Linked DNA regions of Oryctolagus cuniculus. The protein of the gene in region 2 binds, or shares a complex with, the protein of the main gene of each other region. Links are inferred from orthologs where the notes say so. Each region holds a gene or a part of one and is shown on either strand. Other genes may lie near its edges. The genes, in order: FBLIM1, FLNA, ITGA2B and ITGB2.

Evidence for each region.
Region 1: the proteins of FLNA (region 2) and FBLIM1 are in contact, whole or in part, in a crystal structure (PDB 4P3W), measured with the Homo sapiens proteins. The link is inferred for Oryctolagus cuniculus from reciprocal best matches to the Homo sapiens genes FLNA and FBLIM1. Residues at the interface, in NP_001104026.1 of Homo sapiens: Met2207, Gly2208, Thr2263, Arg2264, Gly2267, Ala2268, Gly2269, Gly2270, Leu2271, Ala2272, Ile2273, Ala2274, Val2275, Glu2276, Gly2277, Pro2278, Ser2279, Lys2280, Ala2281, Ile2283, Phe2285, Cys2293, Glu2306, Phe2311; in NP_001337080.1 of Homo sapiens: Lys7, Arg8, Val9, Ala10, Ser11, Ser12, Val13, Phe14, Ile15, Thr16, Leu17, Ala18, Pro19, Pro20.
Region 3: the proteins of FLNA (region 2) and ITGA2B are in contact, whole or in part, in an NMR structure (PDB 7SFT), measured with the Homo sapiens proteins. The link is inferred for Oryctolagus cuniculus from reciprocal best matches to the Homo sapiens genes FLNA and ITGA2B. Residues at the interface, in NP_001104026.1 of Homo sapiens: Thr2263, Gly2267, Ala2268, Gly2269, Gly2270, Leu2271, Ile2273, Ala2274, Val2275, Glu2276, Gly2277, Ser2279, Ile2283, Phe2285, Asp2287, Arg2288, Lys2289, Gly2291, Cys2293, Val2295; in NP_000410.2 of Homo sapiens: Trp1019, Lys1020, Val1021, Gly1022, Phe1023, Phe1024, Lys1025, Arg1026, Asn1027, Arg1028, Pro1029, Pro1030.
Region 4: the proteins of FLNA (region 2) and ITGB2 are in contact, whole or in part, in a crystal structure (PDB 2JF1), measured with the Homo sapiens proteins. The link is inferred for Oryctolagus cuniculus from reciprocal best matches to the Homo sapiens genes FLNA and ITGB2. Residues at the interface, in NP_001104026.1 of Homo sapiens: Val2241, Thr2263, Ala2266, Gly2267, Ala2268, Gly2269, Gly2270, Leu2271, Ala2272, Ile2273, Ala2274, Val2275, Glu2276, Gly2277, Pro2278, Ser2279, Lys2280, Ala2281, Ile2283, Phe2285, Phe2311; in NP_000202.3 of Homo sapiens: Leu753, Phe754, Lys755, Ser756, Ala757, Thr758, Thr759, Thr760, Val761, Met762, Asn763.

The regions. Positions count from the first base shown.
Region 1 is NC_091438.1:153,856,396-153,863,723, reverse strand, and holds part of FBLIM1 (filamin-binding LIM protein 1), read left to right. Parts: intron 1-5,292; coding exon 5,293-5,471; intron 5,472-5,809; coding exon 5,810-5,927; intron 5,928-7,328. UniProt on the Homo sapiens protein: Serves as an anchoring site for cell-ECM adhesion proteins and filamin-containing actin filaments. Is implicated in cell shape modulation (spreading) and motility.
Region 2 is NC_091453.1:132,583,609-132,590,936, reverse strand, and holds part of FLNA (filamin-A), read left to right. Parts: intron 1-12; coding exon 13-103; intron 104-193; coding exon 194-363; intron 364-560; coding exon 561-678; intron 679-807; coding exon 808-1,070; intron 1,071-1,281; coding exon 1,282-1,879; intron 1,880-1,978; coding exon 1,979-2,152; intron 2,153-2,228; coding exon 2,229-2,391; intron 2,392-2,471; coding exon 2,472-2,632; intron 2,633-2,719; coding exon 2,720-2,890; intron 2,891-3,251; coding exon 3,252-3,375; intron 3,376-3,462; coding exon 3,463-3,619; intron 3,620-4,211; coding exon 4,212-4,401; intron 4,402-4,559; coding exon 4,560-4,583; intron 4,584-6,768; coding exon 6,769-7,016; intron 7,017-7,128; coding exon 7,129-7,224; intron 7,225-7,328. UniProt on the Homo sapiens protein: Promotes orthogonal branching of actin filaments and links actin filaments to membrane glycoproteins. Anchors various transmembrane proteins to the actin cytoskeleton and serves as a scaffold for a wide range of cytoplasmic signaling proteins.
Region 3 is NC_091448.1:18,916,559-18,923,886, forward strand, and holds part of ITGA2B (integrin alpha-IIb), read left to right. Parts: intron 1-345; coding exon 346-467; intron 468-558; coding exon 559-656; intron 657-760; coding exon 761-926; intron 927-1,170; coding exon 1,171-1,221; intron 1,222-1,294; coding exon of another isoform or gene 1,295-1,298; coding exon 1,299-1,340; intron 1,341-1,433; coding exon 1,434-1,562; intron 1,563-1,758; coding exon 1,759-1,806; intron 1,807-1,928; coding exon 1,929-1,972; intron 1,973-2,099; coding exon 2,100-2,153; intron 2,154-2,258; coding exon 2,259-2,311; intron 2,312-2,478; coding exon 2,479-2,690; intron 2,691-3,854; coding exon 3,855-4,037; intron 4,038-4,264; coding exon 4,265-4,310; intron 4,311-4,394; coding exon 4,395-4,499; intron 4,500-4,580; coding exon 4,581-4,636; intron 4,637-4,725; coding exon 4,726-4,877; intron 4,878-5,021; coding exon 5,022-5,147; intron 5,148-6,054; coding exon 6,055-6,122; intron 6,123-6,217; coding exon 6,218-6,365; intron 6,366-6,986; and 3 more. UniProt on the Homo sapiens protein: Integrin alpha-IIb/beta-3 is a receptor for fibronectin, fibrinogen, plasminogen, prothrombin, thrombospondin and vitronectin. It recognizes the sequence R-G-D in a wide array of ligands.
Region 4 is NC_091435.1:1,688,731-1,696,525, forward strand, and holds the start of ITGB2 (integrin beta-2), read left to right. Parts: upstream 1-2,928; 5' UTR 2,929-3,083; intron 3,084-7,795.

The DNA.
Region 1 (7,328 bases), on a different chromosome or scaffold from region 2:
GAGAGAGGTCTTCCATTCGCTGGTTCACTCTCAAACTGGATGCAACAGCCAGAGATGTGCTGATCCGAAGCCAGGAGCCAGGGGCTTCTTCCGGGTCTCCCACGCGGGTGCAGGGGCCCAAGGACTTAGGCCATCTTCCACTGCTTTCCTAGGCCACAGCAGAGAGCTGGATCAGAAGTGGAGCAGCTGGGTCTGAAACGGCCCCATATGGGATGTCAGCACTGCAGGTGGCAGCTTTACCTGCTGCACCACAGCGCCGGCCCCTTATTTTTTAAATTTTTTAAATTTTTATTTACTTGAAAGGCAGAGCTACAGAGAGAGAAGGAGAGACAGAGAGATCTTCCAGCCACTGTTTTACTCCCCAAATGGCCACGTCCTCTGTGACTAGTCCAGGCTGAACCAGGAGCCGGGAGCTCCATCTGGGTCTCCCGTGTGGGTGGCAGGAATCCAAGCACTTGGCCATCTTCCTCTGCCTTCCCCGGCATGTTAGCCGGGAGCTGGATCAGAGGCAGAGCAGCTGAGAACCCATTGGTGATCCCATGCAGGACGCCTGCATCCCGGGCAGCAACTTAACCCACTGCACCGCAACACTGACCCCTATAACTTTTAATATTAAAAAAGTTTTAATTGACATAATCATACATGTTTATATGCAATTAGGACAATTCTACACATATATCTATTGTATAATGATCAGATCATGGTGATCGACCTGTCTGTCGTTTCAAATACTTATCATTTCTTTTCAAAATTCTCTCTACTAGTTATTTGAAAACGGTTCTTAGCTACTGTGTTGTGAAACAAGTTCCCACGCAGCCGTGCCCCGTGCCGGTTCGCTGCGGGTGATCTGGACAGTGGAATGGGGCGGGAGCTACGGTGCTCGGCCAGGGGCGCCAAGGCCGAGCCTTCGGGGCTAGCGCAGGAGTTCCCCAGGTGTGGTTAGCAGAAATGCGAATTCTTGGCGGGGAGAGGGCCTCCAGGTGTAACCTGCTTCGGGGCCAGGACCAAGGTGGCCGCTCGCTTCATCTGTGCCCTCAGCCCTCGGGGGTGCGGGCAGGGCATTGTCCTTACTGAAGGGCGAGAAACCAGACTCCGCCTGGAGGGCCTGGTCTCATGGCGCGTAAGGCTTCCGGAACTTTCCATCTGCGTTCCCACGCGTCTGGGCCAGGCTGAGCTTGCTGTGCCTGCCTGGGGAGGTGGGTGGTGCACGCCCGTGACCCTTCTCGCTGGGACTGGGGTGGGCAGAGGGTTTCCACAGGGCCCTCCTGATCCCATGGAGCCTGCAGGGCTGGCGCTGGATGTGGTGGTTCTTGGATGGAGGAGAGACACGGGTGCCGAGACAGGAGCTGTGGGAGCCCCACCCTACCTCCTCCCGCCTGTACCCACAGAATAGCCTTAGGGTCCCAGCACTCAGCTCGCTGGAGCAGGCTTTAGACTGTGCTAGGAATGGAAGTGATTTTGTGCCTGTGTGTGTGTGCTGTGTGCCTGTGTGGTGTGTGCATGTGTGTGTGGTGGGTACATGCATCTGCTGGTGTGTGGTGTGTGCATACATGTGCTGGTGTGTAGTATGTGCACGCATGTGCTGGTGTGTGGTGTGTGCACACATGTGCTGGTGTGTGTGTCCTGCACACATGCGTGTGTCCATGTGTGTGGTCTTAGGAAGCCCCAGACAACACACAGAAGCAAATCCAGCAGGAGAAAGCCTGTGCGCCCACGTCTGGTCCCAGCGCTTATCAAGGTCCAGACGTGCCTGTCTCGTCTGTTCCTGTGTGCGTGTGGATTGCTATGAAGGCACCCAGTCACCCTGGCAGTTCTGCCCCACGTTGGCTAAGGTCCATCTCCAAATACAGCCATTGCCTTACACGGCCACAGGGCCGGGCGGCGTCCACTGAACTGAGAATCCAAGGATGCCTTTGATTATCTGATACTCAACCCACAGCCTTCACTGCTTGTATGAAAACGCCTGGTAGCGGCTGGATCGTATCACAGTGACCGGGAGCCTTTGTTACACGTATTTGTGTACTGGTGAGACAGAGCTCTCGTCACTGGTTCACTCCCCGAACACTGACAGCCAACCTGGCTGGCCAAGGTTGGGAGCGGGGAACTCAACCCAAGTCAGCCACGTGTGCCATCCACACTGCCTCCCAGGGCGCGCACTTGCAGGAAGCTGGAGTTGGGAGCAGAGGCGGGGACCACAGCCTGGGAGTCTGGTTCAGGATGCAGGCGTCCCAACCCGCGTTTCAGCTGCCAGGCCGATGCCCGCCTCTGGGCTGTGCTGGTTTGTTTTTGTTTTTGTTTTTCTTCTACTTGAAAGAATGACAGAGAGAGAGAGAGAGAGAGCGAGCTCTCATATCCAGTTATTCATTCCCTACCCAAATGCTCACTGGAGCCAGGACTGTGCCAGGCTGACCCAGGAGCCCACAACTCCATCCAGGTCTCATCTATGGGTGCCAGGGGCCCTTGAGCACGGTCTGCCGTGTCCAGGGTGCACCAGCAGGGATCTGGACCGGTAGCAGAGCAGCTGGACCTCGGACCAGCACTTCCATGCAGGATGTGGGCCTCACAGCAGTACTTAACCCTCCGTGCCACACGCCCACTCCCCCATCCGTGTTTTGAGCTAATTTAGTGGAATGTTTAGCTTTTCCTCAGCTCCAAAGTGGGAAGGATTAAATGAGAGGATTAATCCTTTGAATTAGGGTCCAGATAAGGTCTATACCAGCCATCCAATAAAAATAGAATGCCAGTCACAAATGCTAGCAACACTTGTAACTTAAATTTTCTAGTGTCCACATTGAAAAAAAGGAAAAAGAAATAAGTGATATTAATTTTAACCTTAGAGATTATAAAACCCAGTGTACTGAGATATCATTTCAGCATGTAACCATTATAAAAATTACTTTTTAAAATATTTACTTAGGCCGGCGCCGCGGCTCACTAGGCTAATCCTCCGCCTGCGGTGCCGGAACCCCAGGTTCTAGTCCTGGTCGGGGCGCCGGATTCTGTCCTGGTTGCCCCTCTTCCAGTCCAGCTCTCTGCTGTGGCCCGGGAAGGCAGTGAAGGATGGCCCAAGTGCTTGGGTCCTGCACCCGTGTGGGAGACCTGGAAGAAGTTGCTGGCCCCTGGCTTCGGATCAGTGCAGCATGCCAGCCGTAGCGCCCATTTGGGGAGTGAACCAATGGAAGGAAGACCTTTCTCTCTGTCTCTCTCTCACTGTCTAACTCTGCCTGTCAAAATAAATCAATTAATTAATTTAAAAAAATTGACTTAGGAGCTGGCATTGTGACCCAGCAGGTTAAGCTACCGCCTGCAGTGCCAGCATCGTCCGAGGCCAGGCTGTCCTCCCCTCCAGCTCCCTGCTAACGCTGCCTGGGGAAGCAGAGGCAGAGCGCTCTTCCACCTGCTGGTCCACGCTCCAGATGGCCACAACGGCTGGGGCTGTTTGGAATTGCATCGGGGCCTCCCACCTGGGTGCAGGGGCCCAAGCACTTGGGCCGCGCTCTGCTCTCCCAGGCACAGCAGCAGGGAGCTGGATCGGCAGCAGAACAGCCAGGATCCCCACGGGCGCTCACGTGGGAGGCCGGAGTCCCAGGCAGTGGCCTCACCCCTGTGCCACGACACTGGCCTGTGGATGTGCGTGTTTTAAGTGGCCGTTTTGCTCTGAAATCTAGGGGAGACCCCTCCCCCACCTCGTGCCATTGGCTCCTTGCAGAAGTGGGGTCCGTTTTGATGGGGTACCCCACGCATGTCCCAGATTTGCCCCTTCTCTCCCCTGCCCTCTCATCCAGCTCCCCTGTGGCTCCACGCTTGTCACAGATGGACCTTTGGAGATGTGACTGGATTGAGGCGGGTCTTTTTGGTTTGTTCATTCAGGGTTTGTGCTGGGGGTAAGAACATGACATAGGTGGTGCCCCTGTCACTTCCTGTAGAGTCACACGAACCAGGAGACCCCGAAGTCTGCTGAGCCTCATCAGTGGGTGCTGGCGATGGCAGCTGACCCCTCCTTAGAAAGCTCCCATCCCCCCTCCACCTTTCAGTCCCTGACTCTGGTCGGAGGTGGAGCACACCCCTCTCATCCCCTGGGGGCCTGTCAGACTCCACAGGTGGTGGCCCCACCCAGGGCGTCTGATTGTGCAGGGCTGGGGCATGCTCCCGGGTATGGCAGGTGCTGCTGGCCAGAGCCACGCGGGAGAGGTTGGTCAGGCCTGCGCGTCCACAGGGGCCTGGCCACACCCACAGGGGAGGGCTGTCGGGGAGCTTGCTCAGCTGCTATTTGTGGCCCTGGCAGGTGCCTCTCCTGTCCGTCATCTCAGATATTGCTTACCCCTGAGTGCCTGGTGCCCATTTTCCAACTAAGCAGATTACACTTGGCGAGGTCCAGTCTGTTGCCTAAGGACACCCAGCAAGTCAGAGGCAGAGGGGCCAGCGCTGTGGTGCAGCCTGCAGTGTCAGCATCCCACATGTGCCCTGGTTCAAGTCCCGACTGCTCCTCTCCGATCCAGCTCCCTGCTGATGTGCCTGGGAAAGCAGAAGAAGATGACCCCTGCACCCCTGTGGGAACCCAGATTGTGGCCATGTGGGGAGTGAAGCAAATAAAAGATGTATTTATTTATTTGAAAGCCAGACTTAGAGAGAGAGATCTTCTATCCGCAGTTTGTTTTACTCCCCAAATGGCTGCAATGGCTGGGGCTGGGCCAGGCTGGACCTAGGAGCCAGGAGCTTCTCCCAGGTCTCCCGCATGGGTGCAGGGGCCCAAGCACTTGAGTCATCTTCCGCTGCTTTCCCAGGTGCATTAGCAGGGAGCTGGATCGAAAGCAGAGCATGGGGCCAGTGTTGTGGCGTAGCAGGTAAAGCCGCCACCTGCAGTGCCAGCATCCCATGTGGGCGCTGGTTCAAGTCCTGGCTGTTCTGATCCAGCTCTCTGCTGTGGCCTGGGAAAGCAGTGGAGGATGGCCCAGGTCCTTGGACCCTGCACCTGTGTGGGAGATCCGGAGGAAGCTCCTGGCTCCTGGCTCCAGAGCTTGCAGCCATTTGTGGTAGCAGATGGAAGACTCTCTCTCTCTCTCTCTCTCTCTGCCTCTGCCTCTCTCTAATTCTGCCTTTCAAATAAATAAACATTAAAAAAAAAAAAAAGAAAAGAAAGAAAGTAGAGCAGCCGGGACTCGAAGCCTGGCCCGTATGGGACGCCCACGTTGCTTGGTGGTGGCAGAGTCCGAGACGGCACCTGGTCTGGCTGGGTTAGGGCTGCTCTGTCCACCTGCAGGGACGCCAGCTGACCCTCTGCCTTCCTCGCAGAGCGTGCTCCTCCTCCACCCGCACTGGATGCCCAGAACCCTCTGGCCGACCTGGACCTCCCGCCGCCGCCGCCCCCTCCTGTGTACCTGCCCCCTCCTCCTGAGGAGGCCCCTGGTCCGCTGGGGGCATCACTCATTTCCGACTTGGAGCAGCTGCACCTGCCCCCACCCCCACCACAGGTACCTCCAGACCCCCGGGGTGGGGGATGGGAGGCTGAGCCTGGAGGTGGTCTGGTCCCTCCTGCTCAATCCCAAGGGACTGCCACGCCCCGCTCTGCTCTATAGACCTCTGCAGCGCCAGGCAGGTCCCGGCCCAGGGCCGCATTCCCTGGCGTGGAAGGCGGAGCTTTGACTGCTTGACCTCAGCTGCCACTGTCCCCTGCCTGCTGAGTGACTTGCTTCTGGGGCCTCAGTTACCTGCTGTTCAATGGGAATGATTGTGTCCAGTGCCCCCAGAGGAGGCAGAGCCTGGAAGGGCTGTGTGGGGTCCCTGCTGACACCACTCTGCGTCCTCACAGGCTCTGGTGGAGGGACCCCCGGTCCAAACTCGGCCTGGTCAGCTCAGGCCCTCGGAAGAGGAGCTGCCACCTCCCCCGGAAGAACCTGCTGGGCTCCCTGAGAGAGAGACGTCCACAGGTAAGGGCCCAGGGCCGGCAGGATTCCGGGGTGGTCCCCAGGGGCCCTCGTGGGAACTGGGAGGGCAGAGACCCCCTGCCTGGCCCAGCTCACGTCTTAGGCTGGGCGTTTGAGTTGTGCACCCATTGCGTTTTTGTTGCCAGAACCTTCTTCCCTTTATGACTAAAATCCACTTAAGTATTCCTCTGCGCTTTGCTGTGATGGCAGAAATGCCTTGAATTTTTTCCCACGACTTGTTCACGTCCTAGTGGCCTCGCACAATGCGAACTGCAAAGCCTGTCACCCAGCGTCCCCCGGGGCCACCTCTGTTAATGTCTTGGGCATCCAGAGTTCTGTCTGCATCAGCAAATACCACCGTGTGTACCTGCGTGCCCTCCCCTGCTGTGGAGAGAGCCTGCTTCAACATGCTTGAGACCGGAAGTGTTTTGCATTTGGGATCGGAGGGAGATTTGGGAATACTTGCGTGTGCATGCTGAGCTGTCTTGGGATGGGACCCAAGTCCCAACACGGGATTCAGTCAGTGTGTTCGGTGCACCTGCCCTGGGATGAGGCTTCAGCCCCGTGCTCGGCGTTCTGGGTTTTGGATCGGTTGAGATGTCTTTGATTGGAGATGCTCTGGGCGCGAGCTGGCCTGCTTCCTCGGGCGGCACAGCGCAGTGGAAGTGGCCGAGTGGCCGCCGCCCCTTCTCTCCGGCTGCGGCGAGCTCCTCCCCAGGGACGGATACTGCGGTGGCCTCCTGGTGTCACAGGTCGCCTTGCTCTCCTGTCATTGTGCCCACGTGCGGATGTATGGGAAATGATTTGCTGAGACAGGAAAGGGCAGGTGCATTTGTGAGTTTGGTGTTGTTAGCCGACTGCCCTCATGAGCCATCTGGGCCTGAACTCGCTCCTGCCCCTGTCTCCCCCTCCCCCGGACCCCCCCCCCCCAGCCTCTGCAGAGCCTGCCTTGCTTGGGGGGGGTGCCAGTAAGGAGGACTCCGTGAGCCCTGGGCCAGCTCAGGAGACCGAGTCTTCCCCTCAGCTGCGTTGCCAACACTCTCCTGAGTTGGTCACTTGTGTGATGGCTTTCGTCGTCCGTAGACGCCCGATTTTGGCGTAGCCGACCATGGCAGGCCTTCCTCTGCCGGTGTCCGGCTTGTGTGTCATAGTTAGGCTTGCCCTCCTCCCGAGTCACAGCCGGATTCTCCGTGGTTGTATTCGTCCCCCCTAGACCTCGGGTGAGTTTAGAATTTCCGGGTGGGGGTGTCGCCGCGGAGCCCGCCCTCCATTCCAGTGCAGGTGACGGCCACTTGTCCTGCCGCTGCGTCCTGCTGTCCCGACGTCAGCCTTCCAAAGGCCGTTTCCTTTCTAATTCTCCTTGTGACCCTCTGCGTTCATCACATGAGCACCTCCTGGGGGCTC
Region 2 (7,328 bases):
TGCCATCTGCAGGCCACACCCACCAGCCCCATCCGAGTCAAAGTGGAACCCTCCCACGATGCCAGCAAGGTGAAGGCTGAGGGCCCTGGCCTTAGTCGCACCGGTGAGGATAAGTACCCTGTGGGAGGTCAGGAGGCATCAAGTTGGGGAGCTCGGAGCAGGGTTCCCTTACATGATCACTGCGTCTCCTCAGGTATTGAGCTTGGCAAGCCCACTCATTTCACGGTCAATGCCAAAGCTGCTGGCAAAGGCAAACTAGATGTGCAGTTCTCAGGGCTGGCCAAGGGGGATGCAGTGCGAGATGTGGACATCATCGACCATCACGACAACACCTACACAGTCAAGTACACGCCTGTGCAGCAGGTAGCCACCTTGACCCCCTGCGGCCATAGCTCTGCACTACACTCATGCGTCTGTGGGCCTCCTTGCACAGTGGGCTAAGCAGGCTGCTCCAGGGGAGGCTTCCTGCCTGCTCTCGTTTCTCCCCTGAGAGTGGGCAAGAGGCCTGGGGTGGGCGGTGGGAGTGGTGAGCAAAATCTGCATCTCTGCCTCCCTCCCAGGGCCCAGTCGGTGTCAATGTCACTTATGGAGGGGATCCCATCCCAAAGAGCCCCTTTTCGGTGGGAGTGTCTCCAAGCCTGGACCTCAGCAAGATCAAGGTGTCTGGCCTGGGAGAGAGTAAGTGCCTGGGACCCTTGTGGAAGTCACCCAAGATCCCTTTCCCCCACCCCACCTGGGGCTCATCCACAGGGCTGCTGGAGCTGGGTATCAGAGCTCTCTCCTTCCCTCCTTTCATCATTTTGCCAGAGGTGGACGTGGGCAAAGACCAGGAGTTCACAGTCAAGTCGAAGGGGGCCGGTGGCCAAGGCAAGGTGGCATCCAAGATCGTGGGCCCCTCGGGCACTGCAGTGCCCTGCAAGGTGGAGCCAGGCCTGGGGGCGGACAACAGCGTGGTGCGCTTTGTTCCCCGTGAGGAGGGGCCCTACGAAGTGGAGGTGACCTATGACGGTGTGCCTGTGCCTGGCAGCCCCTTTCCTCTGGAAGCCGTGGCCCCTACCAAACCCAGCAAGGTAAATAGGGTGTGACGGGTGCTAAGGGTAGAGCTGCTGTGCTCTCTGAGGGCCCAGGAGGGCGTCCTGCTGCTCCAGATTTGTCTTCACCCCTTCTCCTTTTTGTACTCATGACTGATGCGTGGGCTGGCTAATGGGGGCAAAAGGAGGGAGATGGAGGGGTCAGGCTGGAGGTAGCATGGCCTCAGCTCCTGACCCCCTCTTTCCTCAGGTGAAGGCTTTTGGGCCAGGGCTACAGGGGGGCAGTGCTGGCTCCCCAGCCCGCTTCACCATCGATACCAAGGGTGCCGGCACAGGGGGCCTGGGCCTGACGGTGGAGGGCCCCTGCGAGGCACAGCTCGAGTGCCTGGACAATGGGGACGGCACATGCTCCGTGTCCTATGTGCCCACCGAGCCTGGTGACTACAACATCAACATCCTCTTCGCCGACACCCACATCCCTGGCTCCCCATTCAAGGCCCATGTGGTTCCCTGCTTCGATGCATCCAAGGTCAAGTGCTCGGGCCCTGGGCTGGAGCGAGCCACTGCTGGTGAGGTGGGACAGTTCCACGTGGACTGTTCGAGTGCAGGCAGTGCGGAGCTGACCATTGAGATCTGCTCTGAGGCAGGGCTGCCGGCCGAGGTATACATCCAAGACCACGGCGACGGCACGCACACCATCACCTACATTCCTCTCTGCCCGGGGGCCTACACTGTCACCATCAAGTACGGCGGCCAGCCTGTGCCCAACTTTCCCAGCAAGCTGCAGGTGGAGCCTGCAGTGGACACCTCAGGTGTCCAGTGCTATGGGCCTGGCATTGAGGGCCAAGGTGAGGACCCTGCCCTGTGACACACGGTGGGGGTAGAGGGTAGGGGCCAGGGGTCAGGGCCCCTAAAGCCCCATGTCTCCTGCCTGTGTGCCACTGTAGGTGTCTTCCGGGAGGCCACCACCGAGTTCAGTGTGGATGCCCGGGCTCTGACCCAGACTGGAGGGCCACACGTCAAGGCCCGTGTGGCCAACCCCTCAGGCAACCTGACGGAGACCTACGTGCAGGACTGTGGAGACGGCACATACAAAGTGGAGTACACACCTTATGAGGAGGGTACGCACAGGCTGCCTCGGATGGGTGTGGGGGGAGCCAGCGCAGGCTCCTCCTGACCTGGCCTGCCCTCCCCCAGGACTGCACTCTGTAGATGTGACCTATGCTGGCAGCCCTGTGCCCAGCAGCCCCTTCCAGGTGCCTGTGACCGAGGGCTGTGACCCGTCCCGGGTGCGTGTCCACGGGCCGGGCATCCAAAGTGGAACCACCAACAAGCCCAACAAGTTCACCGTGGAAACCAGGTAAGCCAACCACCAGGGACGCAGAGGAGAGCCATGGGCTCAAGACCCTCAGAGAGTGACGGGCTGTCTGTTGGGACCAGGGGAGCTGGCACAGGTGGCCTGGGCCTGGCTGTCGAAGGGCCCTCTGAGGCCAAGATGTCCTGCATGGACAACAAGGACGGCAGCTGCTCAGTGGAGTACATCCCCTATGAGGCCGGCACCTACAGCCTTAATGTCACCTATGGTGGCCACCAAGTGCCAGGTGAGAAGGCAGTGGTCAAGATGGCGGGGACTGCCCGATTTCCCCACGCTGTCTTACGCAGCTGCTGTCCCTTTGCCCAACCCCCAGGAAGTCCCTTCAAGGTCCCTGTGCATGACGTGACAGATGCATCCAAGGTGAAGTGCTCTGGGCCTGGCCTGAGCCCAGGCATGGTCCGTGCCAACCTTCCTCAGTCCTTCCAGGTGGACACAAGCAAGGCTGGGGTGGCGCCACTGCAGGTCAAAGTGCAGGGGCCCAAAGGTGAGTGCTCACCTACCCGGCAGCCAGGGACTCAGCAGGGGGAAGGAACATGGAGGCCCAGCATATGCAGAGTGGAGTCAGGTGTGTGGGCAGGTGGAGTGGGAGACCCTCGGGTTGACAGAGGAGAGCTGGTGGGGAGAGCAGGAGGAGGCAGGACAGATGGGGTAGGAGGGAGGGACAGCAAGGGTCCAAAGTGGCAACCAGAGTGGTGTCTCATGCCACAGGGGTTTGGGGCCGTCCTTGTGGATGGGCAGCGACAAGAGGAGGTCTAGGCCTGGTGCCCTGACCGGGTCAGTGTGGTGGGGGTGGGGGTAGGGGCCCAGGGGGCTGGCTGAGGTTGTGTCCCTTGGACTGGGGTCAGGCCTGGTGGAGCCAGTGGATGTGGTGGACAACGCCGATGGCACCCAGACTGTCAACTACGTGCCCAGCCGAGAAGGGCCCTACAGCATCTCAGTGCTGTATGGGGAAGAGGAGGTGCCCCGGAGGTGAGTCAGGGCCCACCACCCATGGGGAGGGGTCCAGGCTGGATGTCCAGAGCCTGTCTGACCTCTCGCAACACCCTGGCTCCACAGCCCCTTCAAGGTCAAGGTGCTGCCTACACATGATGCCAGCAAGGTGAAGGCCAGTGGCCCTGGACTCAACACCACTGGTGTACCCGCCAGCCTACCTGTGGAGTTCACCATTGATGCAAAGGATGCTGGGGAGGGCCTGCTGGCTGTCCAGATCACGGTGAGCTCACTGGCCTCACAAGCTGGACTGTAGCATGGTGCAGGCAGAGGAGAGGCCAGGCTGGGTCTCCCTAGGGAGTCATCCCAGGGAAGGCAGGGCCGGCCAGCTTCTGCTTTGCCACCATCATGACTACCTGAGGCTGATGCTGGCGGGCACAGGCCTCGTGGAGCACACACCCTCTGCTAACACTGAGGACCTTCCCAAGGCCTCTGGTGCTGCACTTCCCCTCCTGTGCCATTCTCACTGGGAAGATACGAGGAGATCTCCCAGCTGAGCTCCCCTGAGTGCTGGGGCAGACCCTGGTCTCAGGGTGGGAGCCCACAGGGGTCGTGGCAGGGGATTTGGGTAAGGGAGCATGGGCCCAGGGGCCCTGGCCCTGTCTGTCGGCACATGGAGCAGTGTTGAATACTTCTGCAGTTCCATCTAGACTGCCCATGGGGAAGTAAGGATGATGCTGGGTGCAAACAGCCTTTTGGGGCCATAGCTGCTGAGAGGCCTGGAGGCTGTCCCTGTAGCAGTGGTACTTGGCATCCATTCAGGAGGGTGGCTTACCTGGGCCCGGGCCAACACTTCCACGTGCTCTGCCGTGCAGGACCCTGAAGGCAAGCCCAAGAAGACACACATCCAAGACAACCACGATGGAACGTACACAGTGGCCTATGTGCCAGATGTGACGGGCCGCTACACCATCCTCATCAAGTATGGTGGTGATGAGATCCCCTTCTCCCCATACCGTGTCCGGGCCGTGCCCACCGGGGATGCCAGCAAGTGCACGGTCACAGGTGAGCCAGCCCGCCAGCGGCCGCTGTGGCGCTCGGCACGGGGCTTGGGTGTGCCTGTGTGCAAGGGCTCGCTGCTTGGGGCGGCGTGTGGGAGTGGGGGCCGCCCCCTTGAGTGACTCACCTGACCTTTCTCCTTGCTCTCTGCCCTCTCACCTCAGTGTCAATCGGAGGTCACGGGCTAGGTAAGCTGCTTGCTGGGGCCACTCCCAACGCCCCTCCTGCCCAGAGGGCAGCTTCCTTTCCTCTTCCGGTGCTGATTCCCAGGAGAGTTCCAGCTGCAGCTCCAAGCAGGGACAGAGTGGGTGGGGGGGCTGTGCAAGACAAGGCCATGGGCTGGAGGGTTAGGGCCCAGGGAGGCTTCCGGAGCTAAGCATGAACACTCCGGCCCTTCCCCTCTCTGGGCCTCCGTTTCCCCACTGGAGAACTCGGGTTGCAGCTGAGAGCTTTGGGGTGAGGTGCATCCTGAGAGGCACCCCACTTGGGGACTTTGGGGTCTGGGGATCTTGGCACTCTGGGCAAGTACCCAGGGATAGGCAGTGGGCCCTTCCTTCTCACAAGGGCTCCTGCTTGGATTAAGGGGACAAGGGGAGTCCCTAGCTCCGGCCAGATCCGCAGACTCCCATCCCTACCTCCCAGGGGCCTGAGTCCCGGGCCGGGGGAGGTGCATGAGCGGGTGGGGCTGGCTGGTAGTGCAGTAGCACCAGCGTCGACTGCTTGGGTGGCCAGCATGGCGGGGCCCAGCCCAGCCTAGAGCCCCAAAGTGCACTGTGTTGCCCGTCTCCCTCCTTCCCTTCCTCTCCTGTCCCCCTAGCAGTGACGTTATTCAGGCCATCCCCTGGCAGGCACAGAAGTTTGCCTGCCCCAGCCAGGGGCACCTCTAAGAGGGGAGAATGACTTGAGGGCCTCTAGAGGCTGTAGGCCGGCCACTCAGGCAGGGTGGCCAGGGAGCAGGTTAGAGGGAGGCTAGGGTTTTGGAGCGGGGCTAGACAGCCTTGTAGAGTAGACTTTGGGATCGGGGGAGACCTGGTGCATGTGCAGGACTCAGACTAGGGGGTAGGGGAGAGGTTTGCATTAGCCTTAGTTTACGTGGCCCATGTGTGCAGTGTGGAGGCAGGGAGCCCAGCTCAGGGGCTGAAGTCACTTTTGGGTAAGCTGGACGGGTGGCTTGGGCCAGGCCAGTGGCCATGGGATTTCAGGTGGGAGCCCAGCCAGGACAGGGTACTTGGAGAATAGAGTAGCTAAGACCTGCTGATGGGCTGGGAAAGGTGGGAATCGGGGGTAGTTGTGAGGCTGGAGCCCTAGCCATGAGCTGGGTGGTGTGGGGTGCAGGTGAGTGAGGCCTCCCAGGGCAGCAGATAGCCAGCTGTAGAGCCCAGGAGACCCACCTGGGCTGTGGTCAGTCAGCATAGTGCCTAAGCAGGGGGAAGAACCCTTGGCCAGTAGGGGGACTTGGTGGCAGACTGGCCAGGGGTGCCCCCTGAACTTGACCCTCAAGCAAGTTTGGTGCTCCTGGCTGCTTCCTTGGCAGGAGGCCAGGCTACAGGGGTGCTCTCGCTGCCAGGCCTCACAGCCCACAGCTCCCCAAGCCTCCACAGCTGAGCCCCAGATCATAACGTCACTGTACCTCCCCTTTCCTCGGGCACTCTGGGGCCCTAGAGGCTATTCAGCTTCTCTGCCCTTGCAACCCAGTGGTGGTGGCTGTGGCTTGGGCCTCCTGTCCCTGTCCCCCTGGGTGCTGCCACTGCTCTGCCAAACCTGCTGTGCTGCACTGCCTGGGTGCTAACCTGGCTGCCTCCCGCCTCCCTGCTCCCGCCTGCGCCGGGCTGCCTCTCACAGTGAGCCGCTGGTTGAGCGAGCATTCTCAGTTGTCAGGAGACTCCAGTTTCACCTCCAGGCCTGGAGGGGGGTAGGAAGGCAAGTGTCACGTCCCCCCACGCTGCAGCAGGACTCTGCCTCACCGCGTCCACACAGCACTGGGGGCCAGGGCTGGGCCACAGGGGGTCCAGGCAGCCGTGGGCCTGGCTAGAGCGCTGCTGTTTGTCAGCACGGGCCACGATGCCAGTGAGGCCAAGTGGGGCAAGGGAGGGAGGTGGCGGTAGATGCTCATGCCGAGATGGGCCCTTCCTTCTCTTCCTGGGCACCCGAGTGCCCCCGGTCAGGCCTCTCAGGTGTCAGGGCTTGAGGTGGTCAGGAGAAGCCTTCCTGTCTTCTGAGAAAGCACTCGCCATCCCAGCTGAGGGTGGGGCGGGAGGCCTGGCTGTGCTTGGTGGTGGCGTTGAGGCCTGGGGGGCAGCCGGAAGACAGGAGCAGCCCAAGCGCAGAGCTCACGTGCTGGCCTCCCTTCGGGGACCTGCCCTGCCCTATCAGGTGCTGGCATCGGCCCCACCATCCAGATCGGGGAGGAGACGGTGATCACCGTGGACACAAAAGCGGCAGGCAAAGGCAAAGTGACCTGCACGGTGTGCACCCCTGATGGCTCAGAGGTGGACGTGGATGTGGTTGAGAACGAGGACGGCACCTTTGACATCTTCTACACAGCCCCGCAGCCAGGCAAATATGTAATCTGTGTGCGCTTTGGTGGCGAACATGTGCCCAACAGCCCCTTCCAAGTGACGGTAAGGAGGGCCCGGGGGCAGGATGCAGGGGGCTCTTGACAGGTCCAGCCTGGCCCGTCCCCCAGGGCCCCGCTGCGACAACAGACTCTCCAGCTCCCGCTCTGCTCCACAGGCTCTGGCTGGGGAACAGCCCGCGGCACAGCCCCCGTTACGGCCTCAGCAGCTGGCCCCACAGTACACCTATGCCCAGGGTGGCCAGCAGACCTGGGTACGGCAGGGCTCACCACCTCGCGGATCGCCCGGCCCAAAGAGATGTTCAGGGCTGGTGGGCAGGGAGTCCCATGGGCCCCGGCCGCTCTGCCACCTGCGAGG
Region 3 (7,328 bases), on a different chromosome or scaffold from region 2:
CGCCCCACTTCGCGTGCCTCCCTCAGCACTCAAACCCCCTCCCAAGGAGGGACCTGGTTCCCAGGAGCACGCGAGACCCTGGTGGTGGCTGGTGGTCGGACGGTGGAGACGCCGACAGCGTAGGCGATACTTTTCTCACGGATACCGAACCCCCGGTGTTCAAATCAAACCGTGGGATCAGTTCCAGCTTCACTCCCGACTCGCTGGGTTACTTTAGGCATGGGATTTCCCTCTCTCACAATAAAGTGTGAGGTCCCATGTAGGAGAGCGATGCGGTGCCCGCCGGCTACACGGCCCCGGCGCGCTCCCAGCACCGCGCCGCGCTCACCCTGCTTTCCCGCGCAGCGTGGCCATCGTGGTGGGCGCCCCGCGGACCCTGGGCCTCGGCCAAAAGGAGACGGGCGGCGTGTTCCTGTGCCCCTGGAAGGCCGAGGGCAGCCCGTGCAGCCTGCTGTCCTTCAACCTCAGTGAGTCCCCAGCAAGGGTGGAAGGGAGGAGCGAGGGGGAGGTTCACGGCCGGATGGGACTCAACGCCCCACCCCTTCTTGTGCCCTCCAGGCGACGAGTACCGAAAAACGAGCTCCCAACTTTTCCAAACCTTCAGGGCCCGGCAAGGCCTGGGGGCGTCGGTCGTCAGCTGGAATGACATCATTGTGGTGGGCGCCCCGAGACCGGCACGGGGCGGTCGGGGAGGGGATGCGCTGGGGACGGGGGAGCCCGAGCCTCGCACCCTTCCCCACTCTCCCGTGGCCCTGTCCAGGCCTGCGCCCCCTGGCAGCAATGGAACGTCCTGGAAAAGGCAGCGGAGGCCGAGAAGACGCCGGTCGGCGGCTGCTTCGTGGCTCATCTGCCTAGCGGGAGGCGCGCGGAGTACTCGCCCTGTCGTGGCAACACCATGAGCCACGTTTACGAAAAAATGTATCTTAGTAAGGGCCACCCTCCATCTAGTTCCGCCCACTCGAGACTGCATAGCCCCGCCCCTAACCTCCGCCAGCCCGGCTTCCAATCTGGCCTTAGCGTCTGCCCAGCTCCTGGTCCCGCCCCTCCGACTGCAGCCACGCCTCCTTATTACCCTGTCCCCGCCCCCTCGCGCTTGCGCACTGCCCCGCGGCGCTGCAGGCGCGGAGGCTCGCTTCTTCCCCCGCGGGTTCACTGAGCCGTCTCCCCTAGGAGACTTACGCTCCTGCGAAGCGGGCTTCAGCTCCGTGATCACCCAGGCAAGTTGGAGGCAAAAGCATGGTGGGGGCAGTCCACGAACCGGGCGCTCTTCTCACCTCCAGGGCTTCCCTTTCAGGAAGGAGAGCTGGTGCTGGGGGCTCCGGGCGGCTATTATTACTTAGGTACGTGCGAGTCGGTGCGACCCCCGCCCCTCTCACGGCCCCGGGAGACCCCTGGCGTCTGGGCCCCCACACTCCCTGCCCCTCGCGCCCTAGGTTTCCTGGTCCGGGCTCCAATTGCCAACATCATCTCGAGTTACAGCCCCGGCGTCCTCTTGTGGACCGTGCCCAATCAGAACTTCACCTTCGACTACAGCAACCGAAAGTACTTCGACGGCTACCGAGGTAATCTGGAGCCCCAGCACCCCAGGGGTCACCGCCCGCCCCGCCGACCACGTCCTGCCCCTCGGGAGCCTCCGCAGCGCCTACAGCGCCCCGCCTCTGGACGGCTCTGCGCGGTGCCGGGTTCGGACTGGGTGGCCTCGGAGTCCCCTCTTTTCTCGCCCCCAGCACCTCCTGCTAAGATTTAATTTGTCCCCAGGGTACTCGGTGGCCGTGGGCGAATTCGATGGGGATCTCAGCACAACAGGTAAGAAGTCCACCTGCTCAGTGGCGGGGTTGGGAGCCCAGCCCCGGGAGAAGCTGCGCGCGGAGCGGGTGGGAGGTAGCAGGCTCTAGAGATGCCGCCCGCTGAGCCTGGCTCTCCCCCAGAGTATGTCCTCGGTGCCCCCACTTGGAGCTGGACCATGGGAGCGGTGAGTGCCCTCCACCACACCACTGGCATCAATGTCCCCAGTCCTCAGGCTCACGGTCCCCCCGCCCCGACTTCCTGCCCTTCTCACGGGGAGCAAACGTAACACGCTCCATGCACTGTCCATGCAGGTGGAAATTTTGGATTCCTACTTCTACAGGCTGCACCGGCTGCAGGGCGAGCAGGTGGGGGCCGGGCCGCGCTGGGACTGGCTGAAGACAGGAAACTAAGACCACAGAATATCTGGGGGGTTGGGAGGTACAAACGAAGGTGCCCTCGTCTCCTTGCAGATGGCTTCGTATTTTGGGCACTCTGTGGCGGTCACTGATGTCAACGGGGATGGGTGAGGAGGGGGACGCCCCACCCCTACCCCGTTGGTTCCCCAGTTGCCTCTGCCAGCCCTGCCTTGGGCACGACCGCCCCAGGAGCTGAGAGCCAGCGTGGGCAAGATTTGGCCCTAGCCCCCAGCCGCCACTAGCCAGCCCCAGCTGACCACCCCTCTGCCTGCAGGAGGCATGACCTACTGGTGGGCGCTCCTCTGTTCATGGCGAGCCAGGCAGACCACAAGCTGGCCGAGGTGGGGCGCGTGTACTTGTTCCTGCAGCTGCAAGGCCCCCACCTGCTGGGCGCACCCAGCCTCCTGCTGACCGGCACGCAGCTCTACGGGCGGTTTGGCTCTGCGATCGCGCCCCTGGGCGACCTCAACAGGGATGGCTACAATGGTGAGGAGAGAGGAGCCCCCACTTGCTGCAGGAGGGTTAACAGCCTCAACAGAAAGCCTGGGCTTGACCCGAGGGCAGGGGGAGCCAGGAGGGGCTTCAGTCAGGAAAGATGAATTCAATGTGGAGGAAAATGGAAGGGGTTGAACAGGAGAAAATGTGCCATGGGGAGCAGGGGGTGGAGCCAGAGGAGTCATGGGCGGAGCCAGAGGGACCAGGGGGTGGAGCCAGAGGAACCAGGGGCGGAGCCAGGGGAGCCAGAAGAGGTTCCTGTAATGCACAGGGGGGACACAGCCCGGTGCCGGGTGAAGAGAGACACCTGTTCCAATGTCAAACACGAACAGGGTAAAGGGAGCTGGTGGCCCACGGTGGGGCCACTTCCCTTTTGAGAAGTAGGAGATGCGGTCCCCTGTGAGAAGCCAAGGGCTGGGCGCTGCAAGGATGGAGGAAGCTAGAAACAGGTGCTGAGCAGACTGGGAGGAGTGAGCAGCACCTGGCCAGGCAGCGGGGCAGCCTCCAGGGCACTGGGGTCAGGGGCTCATGGTGCCCCGAGCTGGGTTCACCCAGGGCTGGCAGTGGGACAAGCCGGCTCAGCCTATGGCAAGGTCAGAGAAATCAGTGAAGACAGTTCAAAGAAAGAGCTGCGTAGGAAACATGCTGTCAACAAAATCGGGAGGCAAAGGGTAGACAGGTGCAAGGCACGTATCAAAGACGCGCTCGTGTCAGACACGAAGAGTTCTCAGAGGTGCCACTCTGACAACAGGTGCGCTTTCAAAGGTGAGTGAGAGCCTGTGGGTGTGCCTGAGTCTGTGGGGGGGAAGCGCAGGGCCCCAGGGGAAGTTGGGGGCCTGTATTTAATAAGCTTCAGCTACTCCATATTCTGGAGCCCACACTTTTTATCTAAAATTAGTAGAATAATGCCTCATTTTCAGGATTAAATGAAATCTTGTTGATCTCTTTTCCTCGGCGGTTAGTGGAGGCTGGTGCTGTTTTCCTAACAGTGCTGCCTGACCAGCCTCTCTCCCACTTGACCGCAACTTCGGCCTCACACTGGGCAGCCCTCTCTTGGTCCTCCGGGGCCGGCCCAGAGAGGGAGCTCAGGAAGCCGTGCCCCTGGTGGGGGGGGGGGGGTTGAATAACAAGCAGCCATGCCTGTTACCTTTCCAGATGTTGCGGTGGCTGCGCCCTACGGGGGTCCGAGCGGTCGGGGCCAAGTGCTGGTGTACCTGGGGCAGAGCGAGGGGCTGAACCCACATCCCTCCCAGGTCCTGGACAGCCCCTTCCCCGCGGGCTCTGCCTTTGGCTTCTGTCTGAGAGGTGCCACAGACATCGATGACAACGGATACCCAGGTGCCTTTGCTGCAAATGCCGAGAGACAGCCAGGAGGCCCGGGCCTGACCTGGTGCCCGCCCCACTGGGGGCTCTGACCGCTTTGTATGGCTGGGAAGCCTGGGGTGGAGGGGAGCAGGTCAGACTTCCTGGGGCGGGGGAGGTGGTGTGCGGAGCCCTAAGGGAGATGAGAAGCCGCCCCCATGCCCTCTCTAACTGCCAATCCCGACCCCTCCTGCAATGTTTAGACCTGCTGGTAGGAGCTTACGGGGCGGACAAGGTGGTTGTGTACAGGTGAGCGCTGACTCTGGGGGCGGGGTGCGGGAGGAGGCCAACCCCAAAGGGGCCGCAACGGCAGGCGCCCCTCTGTCCCGCTAGAGCCCAGCCGGTGGTCATGGCCGATGTCCAGCTGCTGGTGCAAGATTCGCTGAACCCTGCTGTGAAGAACTGTGTCCTGCACCAGACCAACACCCCCGTGAGCTGGTGAGGAGGCGCGGGCGCGGCAGCCGGGACCTGTGGTCCCTGGGCCGGCCCTCGCCCCTGAACCCACTCACGTCTTTGCAGCTTCAACATCCAGATGTGCGTGGGGGTCACCGGGCACAACATTCCCCAGAGGCTGTGTGAGTGGCTCGGGAGGCGCAGGGGGAGGAGGGCCCAGGCTCCCCCGCGGCTGGCCAGGTGGTCTTGACCGGGCCTGCTTGTCCTGCAGACCTGCAGGCTGAGCTGCAGCTGGACCGCCAGAAGCCCCGCCAGGGCCGGCGAGTGCTGTTGCTGGGCTCTCAGCAGGCGAGCACCACCCTGAGCATGGACCTGGGCGGGAGGCAGAGCCGCCTCTGCCACAACACCACGGCCTTCCTTCGCGTACGCACAGGCAGGGGTTCGGCTGGGCTGGGCGTGTGCACCGCATTCACCAGCCCTGGGGCACTGGGCTGGGTGCTGTGGGTCCAGGGGTCATCAGCAGGATGTGCATGGAGCGAGATTGCCTGACTCCTGTCTCCCTCCTAGGATGAGGCGGACTTCCGGGACAAGCTGAGCCCCATCGTGCTCAGCTTCAACGTGTCGCTGCAGCCCAAGGAGGCTGGCGTGGCCCCTGCCGTGGTCCTGCACGGGAACACCCACGTGCAGGAGCAGGTGGGACGGGTGGGAGTGGTACAGGGCCCCTGACAGAAAGCCTAGGTTGGGGTAGTGTCCAAATCATAATGTGTACCCCCAGACCTTGACGTCACCCCGATATCTGGCTTACCAGTTAAGATGCCTGCATCCCATATCCGAGCGCCTGGGTTCAATTCCCAGTGCCAGTGCCTGATCCCAGCTTTTTGCCAATACAGACCCTGGGAGAGAGTGAAGGTGGCTCAAGTCACCCACCTGGGAGGCTCAGGTTGAATTCTCAGCTTTGCTGGCTGCTGTGGGCGTTTGGGGAGTGAACCAGTGGAGCTCTGTCTGCCTGTTTCTCTCTCTCTCTGCCTCTCAAATAATTCAAGTGTTTGTGTATGTGCAGAGTATGTTTATATGTTTATGATATATACAGAGAGAGGCTAGCGAAAATCCCAATATCCCCTACACCTTGAGGTCAACTCCAAACTTTTTCAGCTTCAGATCTTTTTTTGTAAGATTTGCTTTATTTATTTGAAAGGCAGAGTGATGGAGAGAGGGAGAGAAAGAGAGAGAAAGGATATTCCATCCACTGGTTCACCCCCCAAATGGCCACAGAAAACGGGCTGTGCCAGGAGCCTGGAACTCCATCCTGGTCTCCCATGTGGGTGGGGGGGACCAAGCACTTGGGCCATCTTCTGTTGCCTTCTCCGGGGCATTAGCAGGGAGCTGCATTGGAAGTGGACCAGCGGGGACTTGAACCAGCGCTGTGATCTGGGGTGCCGGCATCCCAAGTGGTAGCTTCACCTGCTGTGCCACAACACTGGTCCCTTATTCCCTAAGCCCTGATAAGAATCCCAAGCCCATTGTTGTATTCCTAACCCTGGTGTGGCCCCCAAGCCTCAGAGGACCCCAGTTACCCACACCTCTCAATGTGCCCCCCTAGACCCGCATCATCCTGGAGTGTGGGGAAGATGACGTGTGCGTGCCCCAGCTTCACCTCACGGCCAGCCTGTAAGGGGACCTCCCACTCTGCTCCTCCCCGGCCCTCTCGGCCCCCTGCCGCCTCTCCTCCTCCCTGGCTTCACTCCTCTCCCTCCCCCCCACAGGAAGGGCTCCCCACTCCTGATTGGGGCTGACAATGTGCTGGAGCTGCAGATGGTCGCGGCCAACGACGGGGAGGGGGCCTACGAGGCAGAGCTGGTGGTGCACCTGCCCCTGGGGGCCCACTACATGCGGGCAGTGAGCACCATAGAGGTGAGGCCCAGCCCTAGGGCACTGCCAGGTCCTGACACGTGCAGAAGCCTCCACCCTGTCCATATCCCACTGCAAGAGCTCCCATGTCCCGTATGCTTGGCCACATAAGGTGTTTGGAAGAGGAATGCTCCCTAATGGCACAAAATTCGAGAACTCAATCGAAAAACCCCTACATGTCTCAGAAACGAAGTGGTAGCTGGAACCTGTGCCCAGTCTTTTTCCTCCAAGATTGACAGTCACTAACAGAGGTACAAAGGGCACTGCAAGAAAGTGCATGGAGAACGTGCAGTATGAAAAAGCTAGCAGCAGGTTTCCAACGCTCTGGGCATAAATAATCGTAACCTTTGCATTCCATGTTCCCACAGACTTTCTGAAGGCACCTCACCTATTGATTTCGGTTTTTGCTGTAGTTTATAACAAGGGGGTCATTCTCTATGCAATGCATTTTTAGGTTATTATTTCCCAAATGAAAATTTACTTAAAAAAAAAAAAAAAGAAGTGTGACAGTGACGCAAAAGCAGAATCCCACCCCCACCTCCCCAGTGCCCCTGCTCACCCAGGCACACAAGTGCCCCCCCCACCTCCTTTCCAAAGGAGCTTAAGCCCCGCCCCGCCCCCCAGGGCTTGGAGAGACTCATCTGTAACCAGAGGAAGGAGAACCAGACCAAGGCGGTGCTGTGCGAGCTTGGCAACCCCATGAAGCAGGCGCGGGTAAGGCGTCGGCCCGGCACAGCCGCAGCCGGGTCCCGGGCCAGGTTTTGGAGTCTGAGAGCCCTGGGTTAGAATCCCGGGCCTCACACCCCTGGCTACTGTGTGTCCTGGGTACGGGGTGAGCTGGGAGGGGGGCCACTGGGAGCCCATTCAGGGCAGGGCTGCCCAGAGCGGGCTTTGGGGCGGTGACTTGGGCCCTCCCCGTCTCCCAGATAGGAATCACGATGCTGGTGAGCGTGGGGAACCTGGAAG
Region 4 (7,795 bases), on a different chromosome or scaffold from region 2:
CTCCCAGGTCCCCCGTCTTCTCTGTCTTCAGGGGTGCCGGCAGGCTGCCCGCGGGGCTCTGAGTCTGTGGATTCCGCTCTGGGAGTCACGTTCTGTGGCCCTCGGCGTGTGTTTTAACTGGACACAGCAACGGCACATCTTGCTGAGACAGCGTGACGTTCCAGCGTGTGTGTGCTGGTCACTGTCAGTCAGGGGAGCGGGCACATCACTGCCTCCCACAGCGCCGCTCTGTATGGGAACCTGGAAATCCAGGCTACGTCTGACGTCATTGTCATCAGCCATCGTCACCCTACTGTGCTAGAGGACATTGCAAGCTCGAGCTCCTGGGGCCGGCACTGCTGCAGCGGGGTAAGCCTCGGCGCTTGTGGTCACCGGTTCGAGTCCCAGCTGCTCCACGCAGGTGCTGGGCATTTGCTGTAACTGCTACCCGGTCAGTCTCTGGTTTTGTCACTTTGTGTCTGAGTTTGGTCTGCACCATTAAACATATTCAGACCTGCTTGTGGTTGTCGCCCGGGTCTCAGCATCGGCGTGCACAGGCCAGAGAGGGCAGGTGGCGGTCCCTACACTTGCCACGGCTCGGATCGGCGCGGTGCTCGGAGTCAGAGATGCTCGCTGTGTTTGTGCGGATGTGTGACCACTGTCGTCCTCGTGGGCTGCGTCTCTCCCTGTCCAGGGCAGCCTGTCTGTGGGGGGCTGCTCCTGCAGGCTTTACCGGCTGGCGTCCGCCAGCCTTCAGAACCGGCACCTCCGTTCCATCAGCGTCCGCCGTTGGTCTGTTCTCTTACAGTTTCCCCGGGAGAGAACTTGCTTTCCTTCTAATCGCGACAGAACGTGCAGAACCCGAGACGCCCGGGCCACGGTGACTCAGGGCGTTTGTCTCGGTGCGGCAAGATTCGAGCTGTTGTGCAACCTTCACCGCCATCTGGCTCCAGAACTTTCCATCTTGCGAGACTGAAACTCCACCCACTGAGCCACCTGACACTTCCTGTAAGAGATTTCTTAAAAGTTTGCTGTGGAGAATAAACGTGTCCCTGCCACCAGTGTCAGCCGTCACCAGCGTCCGCTGTCTCGCTGGCCTCTCGCCCCCGCCCTGGAAGCAGACCCTGACCGTCACGCCGTGTCGTCTGCACAGGCAGGGAGGCTCTCAAAGGCACACACCCAAAAGGAGTCTCGCCATGGCGCCCACAGTCCCCGCACTGCGATTGGTTGATGTGTCTCTCAATCTCCTAGTGGGTGGGGTCCTCCCTCCGCCTCCAGTCTTGGCAGGCTCTGGAGGGAGTGGGGGGTTCTCCAGCCTGGGTTTTGTTGATCGCATCCTGGGCCCAGCGAGCTCTTAGCTGGGTCCGAAGGCCTGATCTGATTCAAGTTCAGGACGGTGATGCCGCCAGCATCGTCACACAGCAGGCCAAGCCCAGCTTGTGGCGCCAGATCCCGATCTGAGTCCTGGCTGCTCCAATCCAGCCTCCTGCTGATGCATCTGGAGAAAGCAGGCGATGGCCACGTGCTCAGGCTCCTGCCGCCCACATGGGCATCCCAGATCGAGTTCTGGCTCCGGGCTTTGGCTTGGGGAGTGAACCAGCAGATGGAAGATCTCCGTCACTCTGCCTTTCTAATAAATAAATAAATCTTTAAAAAAAAGAGAGAGAGAGAGAGAGAGAGTACTAACACGCTCTCCCTGTGTTGTTATTCCATCGAGGTGACCGACCCGTGGCAAGGCGTGGGCTCTCAGGGTCTCGAGATGAGCAGCCAGTGCTGTCCAGCGGAGGCCTGGCTGTCGGTGGGCGGGACTGAGGGTGACGCCCACACCCTGTCCCCCTTCTCTGCCATTTTCTAGAATAATCTATGAGGAGGAGACGGTCGCAGCAGAGAACATGATGTTGCAGCTTGTTTGCTCTTTATTTTTATAAAGAGCAAGAATTTACTGATTTGAAGAGGGAGCCCAAAGCCCACCCACAGGACCTGTGACCCCTCCAGAGCCTCTGACGCTGTCCCAGCATCCCACTGTGCTTCTCACATTTCCTGTGTGTTCTGCATCCCTTGAATTTAAAAAAATTATTTTTTCTATTTTCAGATGTATTTTTCCTATTTATATTATTTTAAAACAGTTTTATTTTTTTTACTTGTTGAGAGACAGAGAGAGATGGGTTCACTCCCTAAATACCTGCTGCTGCCAGGGCTGAGCTGGGGCCGGGCCAGGCTTGACGCCGGGAGCGGGATCTCCACCGGGCCTCCCTTGTGTGGGAGGCAGGACCCGAGAGCTTGAACCATCGCTGCTGCCTCCCAGCATCTGCGTGGTAGGAAGCTGGAATCAGGCGACGGAGCCAGGCCGCACCCCCTCCCACCCCAGTGCTCCCACGGGGATGTGTTAACTGCCCCCACCCCCTGACATCCTGTTTCCCACCTGAGGGCACCCTGGACCCGTGCTCTGCAGCCCACCAGGCCCCGGGACAGGCGTGTGACACGTGTGATGCTTCTTGCCTGCTTCTTGGCTTGACTTCTCTTGGGCTTGGTGCTTTCCCGTCTGCCTCTGCTGGCAGCGGCAGAGAGCCTGGGGCCTCCTCTGCTCCACCTGGGCCGGGCCCTGCCCCTCCCCCTCCCAGAGCCTGGGTCCTGGCGGGCTGTCTGCGGCACATCTCCCCGCCTGTGCGCTGTGCCCTGCTTGGCCTCCATGCTGGGTGGATGCCGTCACACGCCCGCTGCTGTGGCCCCCTGAGCCACTGCCTGGACCCTGGCACCTTGCTTGGGCCTGCTCGGGGTCTCCTGTCCGAGTGGCTCAGTCTCCCAGGCTCAGGGCTCATGTGTAAATCCACGGACCCAGCTCCTGCCCACTGCCCTCCTTGACAGGCTGGGAGTCCCCCGGTGCCGCCATTGGCCCCGTCCCCACTGCCCACAGGAGCGCACCCCGTCGGCCCCATGTGGGGCAACCCGCCACACGTCACCCCGCCCCCTCGGAGGAACTGGCTGAGAACAGGAAGCGCAGACCTCACGGTGGGGCCGCTGTGTCCCAGCCCCGACCACAGAGCCAGCCTGCTGAACGGCCGGCGAAGCCACCTCCAGCCCTGCCGGGACGCACGGAGCCGAGGGTGAGTGCAGGGCCCCTCCGTGTCAGGGGGGCTGGAAGAGGGGAGTACCCCATCCCTGGCTTCGTCCCGGGGCAGCTGCTCTCTTTCCCAAAGGAAGCCCCTCTAGGACCTGGAGTGGCCCCGGCGGCCGTGTCTGTGGCCCTGGCCGGGGCTGACCAGCAGCAGGGGGTCCCAGCCGTCTGCTCTGGGCACCCCTTTCTCCAAGACCCAGCGAGAGGAGGGGCAGAGCCACAGGGAGCACCGGCCGGGGAGCACATGGGAGCACGTGCCAGGGCCTCCGGTTCCAGGGTGAGCCAGACCTTGGCTGGGCCCCAAGGACGCGGGGGCCCCGAGGCCCAGCACACCAGGGGGAGGCTCAGGCAGAGGGTTTGCAAGCCCCCCAGGCTGGGGGATGCTGGGTAAGGGTGTGGCCATCAGCACTGGGGCCTGAGGCCTTTCCCCCTAGCGGCCGCGCCGCCTCTCCCAGCCAGAGTCAGCGCCCTGCTGTCTGCGTGTCCCCACCACCAGCTGTGGCGTGTGTGTGTGTCCGTGTGGTGTGTGTGTTGTAAGTGTGGTCTGTGGTGTGTGTGATGTGTGTGTCTGTGTGGTGTGTGTTATGGCACGTATGTGCATTTCTGTGTGGTATATGTGGGGTCTGTGGTATGGTGTGAGTGTGTCTTGTGATATGTGTGTGTCTTGTATGGTGTGGGTGGTGTGTGTGTGTCTGGTGTATGTGATGTGTGCCTGTCTGTGTGGTGTGTGTGATGTGTGCTGTGTGGTGCATGTGATGTGTACTGTCTGTGTGGTGCGTGTTATGTGTGTGTGTCTGTGTGATGTGTGCTGTCTGTGTGGTGTGTGCGATGTGTATGTGTCTGTGAGATGTGTGCTGTCTGTGTGGTGTGTGTGATATGTGCCTGGCTGTGTGTCTGTGTGATGTGTGTGTGTCTGGTGTATGTGATGTGTGCCTGTGTGTGGTGTGTGTGATGTATGTGTGTCTGTGTGATGTGTGCTGTCTGTGTGATGTGTGTGTGTCTGGTGTATGTGATGTGTGCCTGTGTGTGGTGTGTGTGATGTATGTGTGTCTGTGTGATGTGTGCCTGTGTGTGGTGTGTGTGATGTGTGTGTGTCTGGTGTATGTGATGTGTGCCTGTGTGTGGTGTGTGTGATGTATGTGTGTCTGTGTGATGTGTGCCTGTGTGTGGTGTGTGTGATGTGTGTGTGTCTGGTGTATGTGATGTGTGCCTGTGTGTGGTGTGTGTGATGTATGTGTGTCTGTGTGATGTGTACTGTCTGTGTGGTGTATGTGATATGTGCCTGTGGGTGGTGTGTGTGATGTGTGCTGTCTGTGTGGTGTGTGTGATGTGTGTGTCTGTGTGATGTGTGCTGTCTGTGTGGTGTGTGTGATATGTGCCTATCTGTGTGGTGTGTGTGTCTGTGTGATGTGTGTGTTTCCGGTGTATGTGTTGTGTGCCTGTGTGTGGTGTGTGTGATATGTGTGGTGTGTGTGATATGTGCCTGGCTGTGTGTGGTGTGTGATGTGTGTGTCTGTGTGATGTGTGTGTGTCTGGTGTATGTGATGTGTGCCTGTGTGTGGTGTGTGTGATGTGTGTGTCTGTGTGATGTGTGCTGTCTGTGTGGTATGTGTGATATGTGCCTGTGTGTGGTATGTGTGATGTGTGTGTGTCTGTGTGATGTGTGTGTGTCTAGTCTATGTGATGTGTGCCTGTGTGTGTGTGATGTGTGTGTATCTGTGTGATGTGTGCTGTCTGTGTTGTGTATGTGATGTGTGCCTGTGTGTGGTGTGTGTGATTTGTGTTGTCTGTGTGGTGTGTGTGATGTGTGTGTCTGTGTGATGTGTGCTGTCTGTGTGGTGTGTGTGTGATGTGTGCCTGTCTGTGTGGTGTGTGTGTCTGTGTGATGTGTGTGTTTCCGGTGTATGTGTTGTGTGCCTGTGTGTGGTGTGTGTGATATGTGCCTGGCTGTGTGGTGTGTGTGATGTATGTGTCTGTGTGATTTGTGTTGTCTGTGTGATGTGTGTGTGTCTGGTGTATGTGATGTGTGCCTGTGTGTGGTGTGTGTGATGTGTGTGTTTGCGTGATGTGTGTTGTCTGTGTGATGTGTGTGTGTCTGGTGTGTGTGATGTGTGCCTTGTGTGGTATGTGATGTGTGTGTCTGTGTGATGTGTGCTGTCTGTGTGATGTGTGTGTGTCTGGTGTATGTGATGTGTGCCTGTGTGTGCTGTGTGATGTGTGTGTCTGTGTGATGTGTGCTGTCTGTGTGGTGTGTGTGATGTGTGCTTGTGGGTGGTGTGTGTGATGTGTGTATCTGTGTGATGTGTGCTGTCTGTGTGGTGTGTGTGATGTGTGTATCTGTGTGATGTGTGCTGTCTGTGTGGTGTGTGTGTGATGTGTGCCTATCTGTGTGGTGTGTGTGTCTGTGTGATGTGTGCTGTCTGTGTGATGTGTGCTGTCTGTGTGGTGTGTGTGATGTGTGTATCTGTGTGATGTGTGCTGTCTGTGTGGTGTGTGTGTGATGTGTGCCTATCTGTGTGGTGTGTGTGTCTGTGTGATGTGTGCTGTCTGTGTGATGTGTGTGTGTCTGGTGTATGTGATGTGTGCCTGTGTGTGTTGTGTGTGATGTGTGTGTCTGTGTGATGTGTGTGTGTCTGGTGTATGTGATATGTGCCTGTGTGTGGTGTGTGTGATGTGTGTGTCTGTGTGATGTGTGTGTGTCTGGTGTATGTGATGTGTGCCTGTGTGTGCTGTGTGGTGTGTGTGTCTGTGTGATGTGTGCTGTCTGTGTGATGTGTGTGTGTCTGGTGTATGTGATGTGTGCCTGTGTGTGCTGTGTGATGTGTGTGTCTGTGTGGTGTGTGCTGTCTGTGTGGTGTGTGTGCAGTGCAGTCCCCTGGAGGCAGCCGTCACTGCTCTGGCCCAGTGGGTGGTGCTATTTTGTGAGCAGGTGCTACGTGTGATGCTGCCCCCCACAGCCCGGGCTCAGCGCCCCCGCCTCACCTCACCCATGACCAGGCCTCTGGGGGCCGTCCCAAGGTCTCTGGCAGGTGGGGGAGGGTTGAAAGGATCCCAGGGACCCTGCAGTCTGGGGCTAGCTCCCACTCCCCCTTTCATCCTGCCTGAGCTGGCCCTGCCCAGACAACCAGCACCCCTGGCTCTCCCGGCTGGTGGCCCCACCTCGCAGGTGTCGTTTACGTGGAAGACGCCAGCATTCGGGGCTGGGGGGAGGGACACACTGCAGTTGTCACCCAGACATTTCATGGAGGCAGAGACCCCCGGACAGGAAGCTGTGCCATCCATGGGTCTGCCTGCACCCCATCTGGAAGGCGTAGTTGGCCAGGCCTCCTGGGACGCAATGTCCCCATCTGTGAAGAGTGAGGGGCAGGCTGGCCTGTTGTGTATGGCCCAGTTGCCCCATAAGCAAAGACAAAGCTCAGAGCTCACTTCCCGGGGCAGAACCTGGCTAGGCCCTGGCGGGACGCACAGGTGATAGCCTGGGTGGGCAGCCTGGAGCCGGGCGGCCCCGGGTGACAGGGCCCTGCCTCCCTGGGCACATGTCCCTGAGGCTGTGCAGGAGCCACGGTTCTGCCCGGGGCCAGGGCCCGGTGTCCAGCCCCCACTTGCGGATGGGGTGCCAGCCGCTGCAGAGGGTTGAGTGGCACACGTGTCCCTGCTGTGGGCACAGCCAGACCACTGAGGAGCCCCATCTTGGGGTGCCCCCTCCCAGGCTCTGGGCGGTCTCAGGTGACGCCCGGGTGCGAACTGCATCCACTCTCTGTTTCCCTGGGCCAAGCTGTCCTGAACTGGGAGCGCTGCCCTCTCTCCCACCCTGGGCCTGAGGCTTGGAGGCTCTGGGTGAGACCCGGCTTACAGGAGGTATACTCCCCGTCCTGGTCGGGCCCTGTGCTCCGGGAGACCCGTTCACTGACTGCTGTCACTCACAGCGGTCGCTGGGCCCAGGCCCAGTCTTGACACGCGGGCCTTGCATGCAGCTGGCCTGGAGGGAGTTCTCGTCTGGCTGCACCTGCCCATGTCCCAGAACCAGATCCTTGTCCCGTCTTCCTGCACCTGTGGGGGCCAGCGCAGCTCAGGCCAGGCCAGAGGCCCCTACAGCCAGCCCCAGTCTCCAAACCTTCTCCCGAGGCAGGGCTGGCTGCTGATGGGATGGGGTACAGTCCACTCCAGTGAGTGAGCCTGAGGTGAAAAAGCCAACCCTGGAGGGCAGAGCCAGGCATGGCCAGGCCACCTCTGAGCTGGCCCAGCACGTGCAGGCCCTGCTGCCCGCCTGCTCTCTGCTGGGAAGGCAGGTGTCCATCCACTCACCTGCCACCATGAGGTCGAGCTGGCCTGAGCCACTGTTCACACCTGCATAGGATTCCACTGGGTGAGACTTTTCCATGGGGTGGCCACACAAGGCCTGTGGCTGTGTGGCTGGGCACAGGTGGCACACGTGGCCTCAGCAAGCTGACATCTCCACGTCTGAGTGACAGGCTATGTTTCTGCTTTGGGCCATCACTGGTTTGAAGCCCTGGGCTTCTCCCGTGGGTGTGTGCCGCCTTAGCTCTCCTTAGAGATGACTGCCCCCTTGGCACAAGGCACGAGTTGTTCCTCTACACCGCTTCTGTGCGAGCTGTCTGCTCTCGCAGTCCCTCCTCTGCGCGGTCCCCGAGACAATGGCAGCCTCTCCCCGCTTCCCAGGCCACAGCCAGGGCGCCGGGG